Linked DNA regions of Lytechinus pictus. The protein of the gene in region 2 purifies or fractionates together with the protein of the main gene of each other region. This does not show direct contact. Links are inferred from orthologs where the notes say so. Each region holds a gene or a part of one and is shown on either strand. Other genes may lie near its edges.

Evidence for each region. The genes of interacting proteins can lie anywhere in the genome.
Region 1: the proteins of tether containing UBX domain for GLUT4-like (region 2) and nuclear protein localization protein 4 homolog purify together in Homo sapiens (affinity purification with mass spectrometry; 3 studies listed by BioGRID and IntAct, with this or other methods). This does not show direct contact. The link is inferred for Lytechinus pictus from reciprocal best matches to the Homo sapiens genes ASPSCR1 and NPLOC4.

The regions. Positions count from the first base shown.
Region 1 is NC_087254.1:29,540,213-29,547,903, reverse strand, and holds the start of nuclear protein localization protein 4 homolog, read right to left. Parts: upstream 3,015-7,691; 5' UTR 2,889-3,014; coding exon 2,874-2,888; intron 1-2,873. UniProt on the Homo sapiens protein: The ternary complex containing UFD1, VCP and NPLOC4 binds ubiquitinated proteins and is necessary for the export of misfolded proteins from the ER to the cytoplasm, where they are degraded by the proteasome.
Region 2 is NC_087254.1:19,605,934-19,612,969, forward strand, and holds the start of tether containing UBX domain for GLUT4-like, read right to left. Parts: upstream 3,009-7,036; 5' UTR 2,979-3,008; coding exon 2,898-2,978; intron 2,377-2,897; coding exon 2,321-2,376; intron 939-2,320; coding exon 717-938; intron 1-716. UniProt on the Homo sapiens protein: Tethering protein that sequesters GLUT4-containing vesicles in the cytoplasm in the absence of insulin. Modulates the amount of GLUT4 that is available at the cell surface. Enhances VCP methylation catalyzed by VCPKMT.

The DNA.
Region 1 (7,691 bases), about 9.9 Mb from region 2:
TCTCTCCAGTCGAGGGGTAGAGCACCAGAGTCCACTGACAGCTTAAACATCGCTGTAATGCCAGGAGCAAGTTCGGGTGCACATTCCTTTAAAATGATGTTAGGAATAAGGTCTGGACCAGCTGCTTTTGAGATGTTGATCTTGCCAAGTAGCTTTTCCACACCAGAGACAGAAATGTGCAGATCGTCAATCTTGCGTGCAGGCTTGGTAGTTCTTGTTTCAACTGGTGGGATGAAGGTGTCCAAGTTGAAGACCGATTTGAACTGTTGTAACAGCATCTGTGCCTTCAGTCTGCTATCATGGATCAGATTACCATCCTTCTTTAGTGCTGGGGTACCAGTTCTATCTCTCCTCTTCGAGGACACGTATCTCCAGAAGGGCTTAGGATTGTTTTCCTCCAAACCATGCATGACTGAAGATAGGATGAAATTCTCTTCAGCTACTTTGAAAGCCTGTTTGCAGTCCTTCTGGAAGTCTGTATACTTCTTCCATGCACTCTTCTTGGCTGCACCGTGGGTGGTTTTCTTGGTTTTCTTGTAAAGTCTCATTTTCTTCTTCACCATTCGTTTGAGGCTGTGTGAAAACCACGGGAGAGATTTCCTACCTCGCACTGTCTTGGAGGGAACATGTTCATCTAGGATCTGAAACAGTGATGTCTTGAAGTGAGTCCAAACTTCTTCGATTCCTACTTTACAGTCAGTTTTAGTGACGAGTTCAGTAGATAACACTGCAGCTCGCTGGTGAATTTCAGTCCAGTTAGCTTTCTGAAACATGTAACACTTCTTGTTGTTGTGTTTCACAATGTGGGGTAGGATCTCAAAGTCCGTTACTACCATGGCATGGTCGCTAATCCCCGGCGTGCTGTTTGAACTCTTCACCAATGATGGGTTGTTAGTGAAGACGAGGTCTAGCAGATTGTCTTGCCTTGTAGGTTGCTCATGTATTTGATGGAGGCCAAAGTCCAAAGTGATGTCAATAAGAGCTTGTTGTACTTCTCTCTCAGCGGCGCCTGGTCGAGTGCTGAGGTGCTCCCAATCTATGTCTGGACAATTAAAGTCCCCAGTCAAAATAACATGATGGTCTCTGAGATTTTCCATGGTGCGCTCCAACGAGTTGCGGAGTTGGTTTAGGTGTTTCATGTCACGGTGAGGCATATAGAAGGAGCCACAATAGAGTTCCCTTTCACCTTTCAGTTTGATCTTATTCCAAACCACTTCACAGTCCGTTGAGAGCTCTGGTTTATTCTCTGTCGTGATGTTTCTTGAGACTCCAATAAAGACGCCACCCCCGGTGGATTCTCTATCATTCCTGGAGAATTGATGTGAGGAAGGGAAAACTTCTCAATTTTAAAGCAGCTATAACTTTCTTATTGCTTGTCTGATTTCTTTCAAACTTTCACCATTCTGTTTAATTTATTTTTTTCCTTCCCAACACAACATTTTATGGCCAAGGCTGGATTCCTCTTTAAGTTTATTTTCCCCGTTTTGGTGCATTTCAGGCCGGAATGGAATAATAATCTTTAGTTTGGTACAGTTCTTTTTATACATTTTTATGAAATAAAGACAAAAAAATCGATGAGCCCCGTCGGGGGGATTTTGCATTGTTAACCCCCTAATGGTGGCTGCACGGTAGTGAGCCGTCTGTGTACGAGGAGAATTTTTTTTTAAATGTTTTTTATTTTTTATTTTTTTTAAAACTCCTTGAAACAGACGGCTGCCAGCTGTCTAACGACTTCTATGGTTTGATTTTTCTGTGCACGGCGGCATGTAATGGGGAAAGAGTTCCATATGCACCCCCCACCAAAAATAACAAAAGATTGTTGAGACTTCCGGTTCGTTCACTTCAGATTTTTCTATCATTTTTTTACTGTTGCTTACCTTAGTTGGGACTCGAACTCACCTTGTTTGATCTGCAGTCAAGACCTTTCCCGCTATGCTAGCGAGAAGCGCTGATACCGGAAAGGGTATTTTTACGATTATCAGCCGATAGTTCGACTAGTCTTGACTCGCAGACCCTTTACTGACTAAATAAACCGATGTCTATGGACAATTACACGCACAAGGTCTCGCTCGAAATTTGACGGAATAAAGCCATATTTAATTGGTATGTATTTCCACTTCCCCATCATATATGTTCGATATTAGGGCTAGATATATTATTCTGAACCTTCTCCATGTTTTTATTTTCAATTTTAGTGGGGGGTGCATATGGAACTCTTAGACTTAGTCTTACCTGTAATGGACCCTTGAGTGACTCTCAACCAACAGGCAACACCAACATGGCAACAATCACCCACTACTATTGTGCAATGTATGGACTGACTTATCGCACTGCACTACCGTCCATAGTACCAATATGCACTGGGCCTGACTCAGAATTCGCTCTCCTGGGCCCCGTCTTACAAAGAGTTACGATTGATACAATCAATCATAACTTATGGAAATCCATCAGTGCCATAATTTTCTCTACAGTAGGCCCTACAGGAAATTTGCAAAATGTCTTGTTAAATGTTAGAACTTGAAGTTAGAACACACCAAATTGTCAAGAAATCAATGAATTTATGGATATACATTCATATCTAGATTTTTTTTTGGAACAATCATGCATTTTATATGGTGATTTTGCTGGCTGTCCATAGTTGCGATTGATCAGATCAATCGTAACTCTTACTAAAGTAAAAGACGGGGCCTTGATCTCACTGCTCAGAGTCAGACAGCAACTGAGTGAGAGGTGTTGTGAAATCTCCATTCAGATTCAGTGAGTAAGACACTGCACAGTCACTCAGACCAGTCTCAGTCATTCACATCGAGTAACCTTCAAAATCATGTTTTGATACTTTGATAAAATATTTCGTATTCTTAAACAATACTTACAATGGTCCCCGACATGTTAGGTGATATAATAAAGAATAGCCTACTCAGGAAATGTTAATTTAATCGTCTAAATGGATACACTGTTGTCAGAAAGCGTTAGAACGTAATTCTATGACTTGCAGATTAATTCTACATTTGAACGTAGAGGGCGACAAGCCAGGTCAAAAATGGGATCGGAGGGGTCTTTTGTAGAGGGGGATATACAAATAGCGATGAAAAATCTCGGGGAAAAAAAGTGGAAAAGCCTGATTGAGAATTAATCGATATATGAAGAAAATATAAAGGTAAATGACCTTGGTAGAATAGGAAAATAAGGAAAAACAGAATAAGAAGAAATCGGACAAGGAATAAGATTTATAGCTGTTTAAAAACCATACAATTTTATTGGCAATTTAGTGTTATGTGAAGATAAGACATATCTCACATATTCAATAATATGTCAATACATAATCAATACTTAATCAATACTTCTACAGGAAGTATAACATTAAATCATATGTTTACCAACTCCAACTTTCTTAAGAAAGTATTACTCATTCTTCTTCTAGCTAAACTTCTGACGCAAACACATTTTATGGGTTTTCTTATTCACTATACATTGATATGTTCTCCCTAAAAGGTCAACTACCTCAATTCGGAGTAAAGTTATGATGTACAGATTGTTTTGGTCAAGCGTCCAAGGTTGACCAACACCACTTTGGTTGTAAATGGTCTTGACCAGACCAATATAAAAGGGGTTCACTTCTGAACCCAGATCAGATAATAGAGATTGGTTAGAGAATAGATTATAGAGTTTTACAGAATAGAGACTGGAGTTTAGAGCTACAGAAAAGTATACTACATCAGTTTGCAGAGTCTATTTTATATACTTCAGAGTATACTACAGTCCCGGACTACAGTCAGCATCAGACTTACTCATGTATTTATCATCATCATCATCATCATCATCATCATCATCAAGTTATCATCTTTAATAAATTCATATGAACTCTACATCTTGCATTGATTCGTCTCATTTAAGTCTCGATCCAGCGACAACACAACATTAGTGAACAGATTGCAATTATTATACTTTCCCATTTTATCAGGAAATTCAGTGCATTTGGGTCACTCCGGGGATTCAGGCGAATTACGGTGCCCCTGACGGCGCTGACCATGCACTGGCCCATGAGAAAAGACGTTTATCCCTCGATCAAATAAAAAAATAAAAATGAAATAATGTCATAAGATCCTCTGAAGGTTCGTGAACTAAGAATTAAGCCCGTTATAAAAAATGACTTGATATGACATTTTGTTAACGGATATTTACCTAGATATATAATCGAGTAGATGGTTTGGAAATCTATGGGAATTACGTGCAATTAGAACAATAGAATTTCAAAACAAAACAAAAACACGGGAAGAAAATCCTTTTATAATCAATCGGGCGCGTTATACAAAGATAATCAGAGTTAACGAGTACAAAAGTCTGGATCCATTATTTTAGCTGCTGATTGATTCTATTATGATTTGGGAAGAGGCTTTCAAGCTTGAGCTCCATCCCCCTGTCCCCCGGTCTATCCCTCCCCATACTTTCATCGAAAGAAGGGTAGGGAGGATAATTGAAAATATTTCAAACAAAATTCAGTTCCAAGTTCAAATCAAACTAAAAATTTCGTTCAAGCTCCGCGCTCGCATTATACCTGTTCAGTGAGATAACAATCTTCTTATTTAGAGGATATATGGGTTCAAAATACATAAACACAAATTAATCTGCCCGTGATTACAGTTTTCTGTATTTTTTTCTGCGAGATACACGTCCTGTTCCTGACTACTCGTTCTCGTACTCTTTGATCTTTAATTATTAAGGGGCCGGTAAATACGTTTGTTCAGTTTTCAGATCATCGGAATATCAAAAGTGATCAGGTCTCTCTTCACACACATATTGATAATATAACTTTCCTGTTCATAAAAAGATAAACACAACAAAGTGCTCGAATGTTCTGTTTTCAGGTGGGAAAATAAAAAAAAATCACCTCGTGCTTCGCGCTGACTTCATTTTTATTGTATCTTGTTCATGCGTCACTGCAAACAATCCTTATCAGGTCCGGTCAGTAGGCCTATGTTAAAAATTTCAGCTCGATCGCGGTTCTCGCTCGCATCAATCGTTCATTTATATAGATACATATTTTATTCCTGCGTACAAAAATTTCTCGAAATTTTGGCAATTTCTGATAGTGAAATATCATTAAATTTGAGTTCGCGGATCGCTCAAACATTATTTATTCTGACATTATCTTGTTAGTAGTTGGGACGTATCCCCCTCCAATCCCTCCAACACCGACAAAAATCAGCTTTTAGCGGCCGATGGGGGAAAACTAGCTGTGGATGAAAATATTCCCCCGGCCCCTCTATTGGTGAAAGAAAGCCGATCCGCCCCCTGATACTTTTAAGGTGAGGTTATATGGGCCCATGCAGGGTGGAAAGGGCGGTGGGGATGTTCTCAATTTCTATCAACCTGATGACGGTCTGAAGTAAGTCAGATAAGTTTATTCTGATATTTTCTTTCCATACACTCTCCATCGCTCGATCAGCAATTGTTTTTTTTATATTACTATTATTTGATTTTATTTATATATCATTTATTTTTATTTTTATTTATTTTTTGCTAACAAGTGCGAGGGGGGGGGGTATTACGGTGGTGTCGGAAGGCCCGACCTCTCAGTCCCATACTGAGTCGCGAAGCCGCTTATAATTTGTACACTTATTTATTTGAACTTTTGTTACTTTTTAAGTTGATGTTAAGATAATTGGGCCATATATCCTGCACCCCTCATATGAAATTCAAAACTATCAGGACTCAGGCGAAATATATATATGTATATATATATTTTTAAAGGCTGGTTTTGAAAGACTTGTCAATGGTCAATCGCGGGGCCAAACGTACTAAGGTATGTTTTTTTTCAAAGCTTTTTTTTAAAGACTATAGCCAAACGTGTTTAGGGTATTTTTTTCCCCCAGGCCTTTTCCTCCTCGTTTCTGAAAAGTGTCAGTTCGGGTTCTTCCCGATTGTAAGCAACGACCCTGGGAACGGGCATGGGAAACGGGAAAACGCGGTTACTGTTATCAAGTGAGACAAAACTTGTTTAAGGGTCATATTCTGGCGACAACTTGTTTGGGGGCTAAATTGTGTAAAGGCCCGCGAAAAACTTGTTTAGGTGGTTATTTTGCACACAGAGAAAAAAAATCGTTTAGGGGGGTGTTTGGAGATAATTTGGTCACGCATGAGTATATACAGCAATTAGTACATCGGGATGGTATCAGGACAACTACCCCCCGGACAACTACCCCCCGGACAATTACCCCCCGAGGACAATTACCCCCGGACAATTACCCCCCGGACAATTACCCCCCGGACAAATACCCCCTGAGGACAACTACCCCCCGAGGACAATTACCCCCCGGACAATTACCCCCCGGACAACTACCCCCGGACAATTACCCCCGGACAATTACCCCCCCGGACAACTACCCCCCGGACAACTACCCCTCGGACAACTACCCCCGGACAACTACCCCCCGGACAAAGGGAGTGCACAGAGTCATACGTCGGCCGTACGTTTGACTTAAGAAGTACTCAAGGCATTCTCGAGTATCTTGGAATCAAACGTACGCCGTAAGAAGCTGTAAAATTGAGCTCCATCCATAGGCGGATCCAGGGGGCCGAGGGACCCGGCCCCCCCCCCCTATTGGCAGGGCAAAAAAATGAAGAAAAAAAAGGGGGAAAGAAAGAAAAAAAGAAAAAGAAGGGGAAAGAAAGGAGGAAAAATGAGAGGTAAAATAAGAGGAGGAAGACGAGTGAAAAAAAAAGGTCAGGGGATGACTTGGAAAATGATTAAAAAATACAAATTTTTAAATTTACAAATTGATTTTTCAAGTGCTCTGTAAAATGTCCGTTTTATGGTCTAAATATTAATATTTTCAGCTCACGCTGCTCGGTCGCATTATTTTATTTGCATAGGCCTACTTCTTTATAAATTCTTACAAACCGTCCTTAAAATGCACCTTAAACGAATTGTATACTATCATGATTGCCAATTTGTATAGAAAAAACACTGTATTTGATTATGTCATATTGTTTACAATTTAGTAAATTTGGTACTTAATTTCCTTCTTTAATGTTTAATTGCTTTCACCCAAGCATAATACACACAAAAACATCTTGTAATTTACCAGGTGTTCTTGTGTGTATTATCTTTGCATAAAGTTTTTTAGCTTGTATTAAGTTATAAAGCCACATCTTAACCTGGAATGTGCACCATTTGTTTCATAATTCTTAGCTTCTTGTTAGTTGCTGTTTTAAAATAACATATTTATAGGTCTACTTGACAGTGTTAGTGCTGATAGTTGCGTTATCGACTTTCAATATTTCTACCTATGAATGTGTCTTTTTTACGTTTTATCTATTTGCCTGATTTCTTTCCTGAAATTAAACCCAAAATAAATATTTGAAAAAATCAGATCAGTTGGAATCAGAGATATTCAGCATTTGTTATTATTATGACTAATCGTGTTCAATTGTTCTATGAAAACTTAGAATGAGGGCCAGTTTACAAATTTTCTGATGTATATATGCATAGCAAAACGGGAGGTTTCGGGTGCGAGCCCCCCCCCCCCCCATTTTTCATGATGCAGAAGGCGCCGCTAAACCAAAAAAAAAAGGAAAAAAAGAAGTGAGAGAACAGGAGAAAGAGCAATATAAAAGAGAAAGAAAAAGTTATTAACGTAAGGTAAAGTAGAAAATATTTCGGAAACCTGTGCCACAGACCAAAACTTACA
Region 2 (7,036 bases):
AGAATAGCTTCACATATGTTGCTTTAAGAGAAGCTTTGTTTTGCCTTAAATGATAAGCTTATATTATATTCAGAAGGATCATAAATTGATAAAATCATAACAATAGGTACCAATGAAAGCTGCTTGATGTGGTGGAGGAAACAAAATACTGTTCAAACATTGACACTTCAATGTATGGACAATATTGAGTACATGATATATATATCTTTTCATCTATCATGATATTGGTAACAATTGACATTTTAATGTGTTTCCGGCAGTTTAATCTGTGTTAGGTAGACATTCTTATTACTCCAGATCTCGCAATGCATTTAACTGTAAAAAAAGAATATTTCACTAAAAAAGTAGTAAAGAAATTATATTTCAGTAAGATTTTGCAGTAAAGATAACAAGAGAAATAGGAAAACCTTATTCAAACCAAGATGTCAGAATGATAAAAAATTCATATTCTTTCCTCCATTATCAGCATAGTTGAGAAATCTGCTACTCCAATCAAAATCATCAGAGGCCATGGAGAGGGTCATAAAAAGGAAATCCCTAACCAATATTCCCTCCAGGAAGAGTTCCTTTTACGACACCCACCAAAAGTGGAGAAAAAAATATAGGCCTATATATTGGGGTTAGGGTTGCTGTCGCAAAGGAACTCTTTGCTTACCTCCATCTCCATTCTAATCTCAGTAAACTCATTACTTTGTGAATGTTCCCTCTACTCTCACCTGTCACTGCTCTGACCATCCCAGTGCTGTAGAATATCCCAGAGGGAGGATGAAGACTCAAAGCTATGCTGAAGCCGTTCACCCGTGAACAACTGCAACGCCACCGTGGTGGAGCCAGACCGATTGCGTGGGACATCTGATTTAACCAGCTCCAGCTTGGCATTGTTGGGTACATTGGAATATCGGAAAGGAACCTGGACATCTAGGACGGTCCTCTGGTGTCTTCAAGTCAGAGTGAAATAAAAGCAATCAACATTGGAATATCAGAGAGGAACCTGTCTTTGTGGTCAATTCATGATGAAGATTACCCGACTATGGTGCCCATTTTTGTTCTGCCAAAGATATGACTGAATTAGCGAAGCTACTAACTAACCCCTGTGATCTTTTATTGATAAGCTTAGATCCATGATGAAATTATCCATCATATGTCAAATGTCCAAAAGATTCAATGTGTAATCATCAGGAAAACAACTAAATCAAGTCTGTCTTGGATTTTTGCATTCACATCATTCCCTATTTCAAGAACTGCAAGCTAGAAATATTGCTCTTAAAGGGTTCTTTTTCCAAGATATTCACTTTTGAGTGAAAATAATTTCAGGTACTTATCTTATTGAATGATGAACAATTTTACAACTCATTCAAAGATGATATTTAAAAATTTTCTGAGCATCACCATTTATAAATCAAGCAATTACACTATAATGCACTTTAAGATCAATCCAAATAAAAATACATTCTTTTTCACAAAGAGATTGATCTACTGTGCAACTAAAAGGGACAGGAGGATTTATCTCTCCTCATAAAAGAAAGTAATACAGATGCTTTTATTTTCAGACCTGTGCCACTGTACATAGTTACATACCGGTAATTAGAATTCTTTACAATTTAAAACTTTGTGAGGATAAAGATACTTACTAGTATGGTAGGGGGCCCTAAAGCTACGCACCACTCCAATGCGCATGCAATTTCAATTGCAAAATGCGCACTCTGTGTGGAGCTAGTGACTGCAGTGTGACGAACGATTCCTATTCATTTTTTTCTATAGAGGCTGCAATAAATCGCTAAATACAGAGAAAACCAGCAACTGTTTGGAATTTTGGAGTTATATTCACTTTGATTTCATATTTTCCTATAAGAATATGAACATTATTTAGAAGTCTAGGCACAGGAAATACTTTTTCTTTGCATGATAAATTGAGTGCGTAGCTTTTAGGACCCCTTCTAATCGGGCGGCGAAATCAAGAGGTGTTCGGAAAACACGGCGGGATTTTCGTATTAGTGAGTTTTGTGATATTTTCTTTTTGGTTATGAATCTTTACAATATTTAACACAAATTTGTGAAAGATGATTTGTTAGAATATTAAAATTGGCATAGTTTTTATCGTTTGTAAACAAAGTGCGTAGCTTTAGGTCCCCCCATCATATACTATATCCAAAAATGAAAAAGATAAATTGTCAGGATTCCCTAGTAGTGACAACCATTATACTAACCAATACAATTCACAAATACAGACAGATTTCATATTTGATATGCATCTACTAGACAAAATAGCCCATGACTTTCAAGACTTTGCTCACTCCCTCCCTATCTCTGAAAGACTTACTTCAAATTGTGATCATCTGCATTAAACTTCTGTTTCTGACACACTGTCTCGATGATCTGAAAATGAAAATCAATATCAATGACATATTATACAAATAATTACAGAAGCTTTATTGCAGCCATCACAAACCTTTTTTTTTTATTTGAACAGATTAAATGCCAATCTTGTTTCTCTTTTTCATGGAAAAGAACTTGGAATCACTGCTATAATTTAAATCTAAGCTAGCTGCCTCGAATCTAACATGGATCTTATTTCATAAATTGTGCCATAGCATAGCCATAACTTAGCCATAGGCCTAACTGTTAGTCGGACAGTGTGGGCGGCGGCAGGGCTCTTTCACACACACTATCAGTATCACCGAGTCTTCATATACCTTCATATACACTAGCCCGGTGGTGACGGGCAAATTAGCAATAGCATAGCTGTTCGCTAAGCTGCTCTCCAATGGCAATGCGATGGATGACACAGCGCAATTTCTCACGCAGCTCAAATGAATAATTTTCAAATTTCATAAGTAAACCAAACACCTTTGCACAAACAATTTTTTTACTCACTTGAATAATAATATCAGACTTACCTCTAGGATTCTCGTATTAGGAGAAACTTTGACAATTTGTCGTCGTCCATTCGGACACAAGACGTTCACGTTGGATGCCATTTTCACTCTTTACTACATGTAGTCTTTCTCGAAGCTTTTTAACAAAAACAACTTTTCGCTTGTATCATATCAAGCGCTTGAGCCATTAAGGGGGGGGGGGGGTCCGACCGTCTCCGACGGGCACACAATTTACAATTATATTACATTTCGTTGGGAAGGAGCGGGGTAAAATTCAGGTTTTGTTGAAAGTTGATGGCCTGTTATTAAATTCATTTGTAGATGGGGTGGGGCCGGGCGGGGTTATTCAAGAAGCATTGTCATGCAGTTACCAAAAACTTGTGTTATTGTTATCATCCTACAGCTTAATCAATCCAGATTCCAAATAAATATGAGTATAATAGAGATAGAGTAAAATATTGTGCCTATTAATATAGCAAAATCCCAAAGCAGTCAAGACTTACAACTTCATGTAGAGATTGTTGTGGCAGCTGGGGGCATGCAGAGGGGCCCATCTTTGCTGGATAAACTAAAAATAAATCTTGAAAACCTAGAATATTAATCAATCTGTTTTTAGCTGAGTGTGACAGTTCATGTGGCATTGTTATACTTTTTAATGCAACATATTGCACCACATATTTTGCGAATGAAATGCCATTAATTTAGCAGATTAAGTTCCCACCTCACTTTATCCTCATTTCTGTATAATACTAGTATTTGTTAACAGTCATATATACAGTCATAATTATTTTACACATTTTTAATATATGGCATTTATTTGCAATTTAGGATATATGGACTTATTCTCAATTTAAAAAAATATGAATAGCCCAAGATAAAATTCCTTTAATCTTTTTCTTACATACCATTTGTCTGCCTTGCTCTCTTGACTTATTTCTTTTAACTTCATTGATTATGCAAATCTTTTTGAAGGATAATTTTAACAGTCGTCACACAGACTAATCAAATAAATAAACCTTGAACAAAATACCTGTATGAAGAACAATTTACTTCTTTATTTCTGAACTTCCTATGGCTTATGTAACATAAAAACTGAGCAAATATTGCTCATACAGGGTATCCTTTTTATACCAATTAAGAAAGCATTATGAATAAAAACTTGAGTCACTACTGATACACTTGTATTTTCTAAATACAAATAAATAAGAAATATAACTACTCCAAAATCCCTCTCCATACCTAAGAATATCCATCAAAATCATTATGGGCTTTATTAAACCTTGAACGAAATTACATAAATGTACTGTATACTTTTCACTCCGAGTTCAAGATGATTTAAAGAGTTGAATTAAACAAGTAAAACACTAAAAAGTAACTGACATGAGACAAAAAATACAAAGTAATATAACTTGCTAGCATTTTGAAGCTTACGTTATGAGCCCCCCCCCCAAAAAAAAAAGGGACACTGTCCAAATGAGTGGTGTGTTGGTGCCAAAAGCCCACCTTTGTAATTTACTCTAAGAAAACATAAATATTTCACTTTTCTGCTCCAAGAAAATAAGGCTGTCACTCTGGGAACTATGGCAACAACTTCAACTCAGGCCAATCGCATCGATCGCCATCTGAAGAGTCCTATAACAACACTGAACATCAATGTAGTACAAATGTAAAAGAAAGGTTAATCTCGATTATGTAAAAAAAAACTTTTCATTTTAGGTAAGACATGGTTTGGCCCGTCAGTGTGTAAATTCATTGCTTCCACACAGTTACTTATGCCAAAAACAAGGAGGAGCTCATAAATCTATGAAAATGAAATATCAAAAATATTATGTACCAAAATAAAGATCTGCTGATGACATCATTAACTTACTCATTTGCCCACCATAATTTCACAAAACAATGTAAACTTCAAAATCATAGCACTTTCTTACGTAATTTTGTTGACATTTGATTGTTACACTTGATTGTTATACTTGATTAATTCTTATTTACTTAATTTAAATCAACTTTATCCCAAGGACACACAACTAACACTTCTTGAATCCTGTAAATTCCTACGTTTTCTATACAATTTTACTCAAAGATGACCAATATCTTACAAAGGTATATCTGTCAAACATTTCACCCCTATAGAAACCCCTATCAAATGTGACAAAATTTTAATGGCTAGTTTACATCTAAACTTATTAAGTCTAACAAAGTACTTTTAATTTACCTTGATTTACACAAAAATCTTATATTCATTTTCAAAATAAGATTGCAATATTCTAACTATGAAATAAATTTCATGATTAAATGATTAAATCACCATACTCCCAAGTTACATACATATTACCGCATATAATCACCACAATTAAAAAAAAAAAGAAATATGAAAAAATACACAGCTCATAATAATGAGCGTTTCATCCATTTCAGTTAAGCAATTTTACATATTCAAAATATATATGCATTATATCACAAATAATGATTTGAAGTCTCAAACCTTCCGTATTAGTGCAGAAAGAGTTGCAATCAATCGCAACTCTACAAATCATGCGCAACTCTACAAATCATGCGCAACTTGATTTTCAACTAATCAACAGCGCGCATATGGGACTTGCGATTGATTTTTTTACTTGCGTTTAAACGCAACTCTTTCTGCAACGGACCCCTGATAGGGCATTGGTGAATGGAAGCTCCCTTTCCAAAAGCTGACATAGAGGGCCTCCAGACTCGAAACCCAGTGCCAGGTTAGATGAGGGGATTAGCACTGGGTATGGGATTGGGAGTCGGGAGGCCCTCTATGTTAGCTTTGGGAAAAAGAGCTTCCGTACACCAACGTCCAATCTAGACTACTTCCTTATAGGATCTGGGGCACATTGCAATAAGAGTTGCAATCAAATACAACTCAAGAAATCAAACACAACTTGATTTCAAACCAATTAGAAGTGCGTATTGGGAACTGATATTGATTTTTGTTTGTGTTAAACACCCCACTCTTTCTATCATGTGCCATAGATAAGGAAATTTGAAGCATCACATCAACACCATGAAACACATAAGGTTTATACCGCATATGAATATATTAAAAAAACAGGCGAAAACACAGAAAAAAATCCAGGATTCCAGATTAAAACATACATCCACTGCTGTGGAAAAAGATCACACAATATATTAAGTCATGAAATGGAATAAAATAAAGGGTTGATTCTCATATTGATCTTCCACTCTGTTAGTTTGAAAATGTAAGCCTGACACCCGCTTATCACAGTCACACCTAGACTTCAAACCAATCAAAGCTAATTACTTTAAATGGCATATCATTAGTCCTTTTGAAGTCGGTGTGACTGTAGAATACATTACGACCTATGAAATCTCTCATTAGTATCTCCCTTAGAGTGATAAAAAAGTCATAGCACGATCTTTAGTCACCTATTTATCAAAATTGATAGTCCTTCACTAATTAATGTGTTTGGCACTGGGTTTTTTTTTAATGGTCATAATCATTCTTACTACCATGCGTATTCATGTGTTTTGCATGGTTTAGTAAAACAAGTTACATGCACCATAGGAAACATACAAGTCCAATCTCTACAGTGTACTAACAATATACTTCGTTAGGTATTATTGCCTTAAAGTATAGCACACAAGTTATCTCAATGAATTCTGATGACTTGTGAATTCAAAAACTATAATGGTACCAGGTGCCGCGGAACGGTTTTCAAAGTGGGGGGGCTGACCATGCTGAAAATTACAATCATATGGTAAATTTTACATTTTGGACACGGTTTTGGAAAAAAGTGGGGGGCTGAAGCCCCCCCCCCCCCCCCGGTTCCGCGGCCCCTGTAGAACATTTTGCAGAAACAAGTGCAATCATTGGACTTTTTAAATTGTACGAGTGAGCTGGATCAAATGCATTTATACCATAGAACCTGTACATCTCATGGATTAAGAAAAGTTAACAAATCTTTGTGAATTCTGGCCTATAAGAGGATTATTTGATGTGTCTGACTTATCTTACATCAAGTATTAAAGCAAGTTTGACTTTTTACTTATCTCTAAATACAAAATATCAATGGCAATTGTCTGGCCGAAGATGAACTTTCATAACTTATGAACTAAAACTATAATTTTGTTTGAGTTTCATCACAAACACACACATTAAGCTGCTTTTCAAA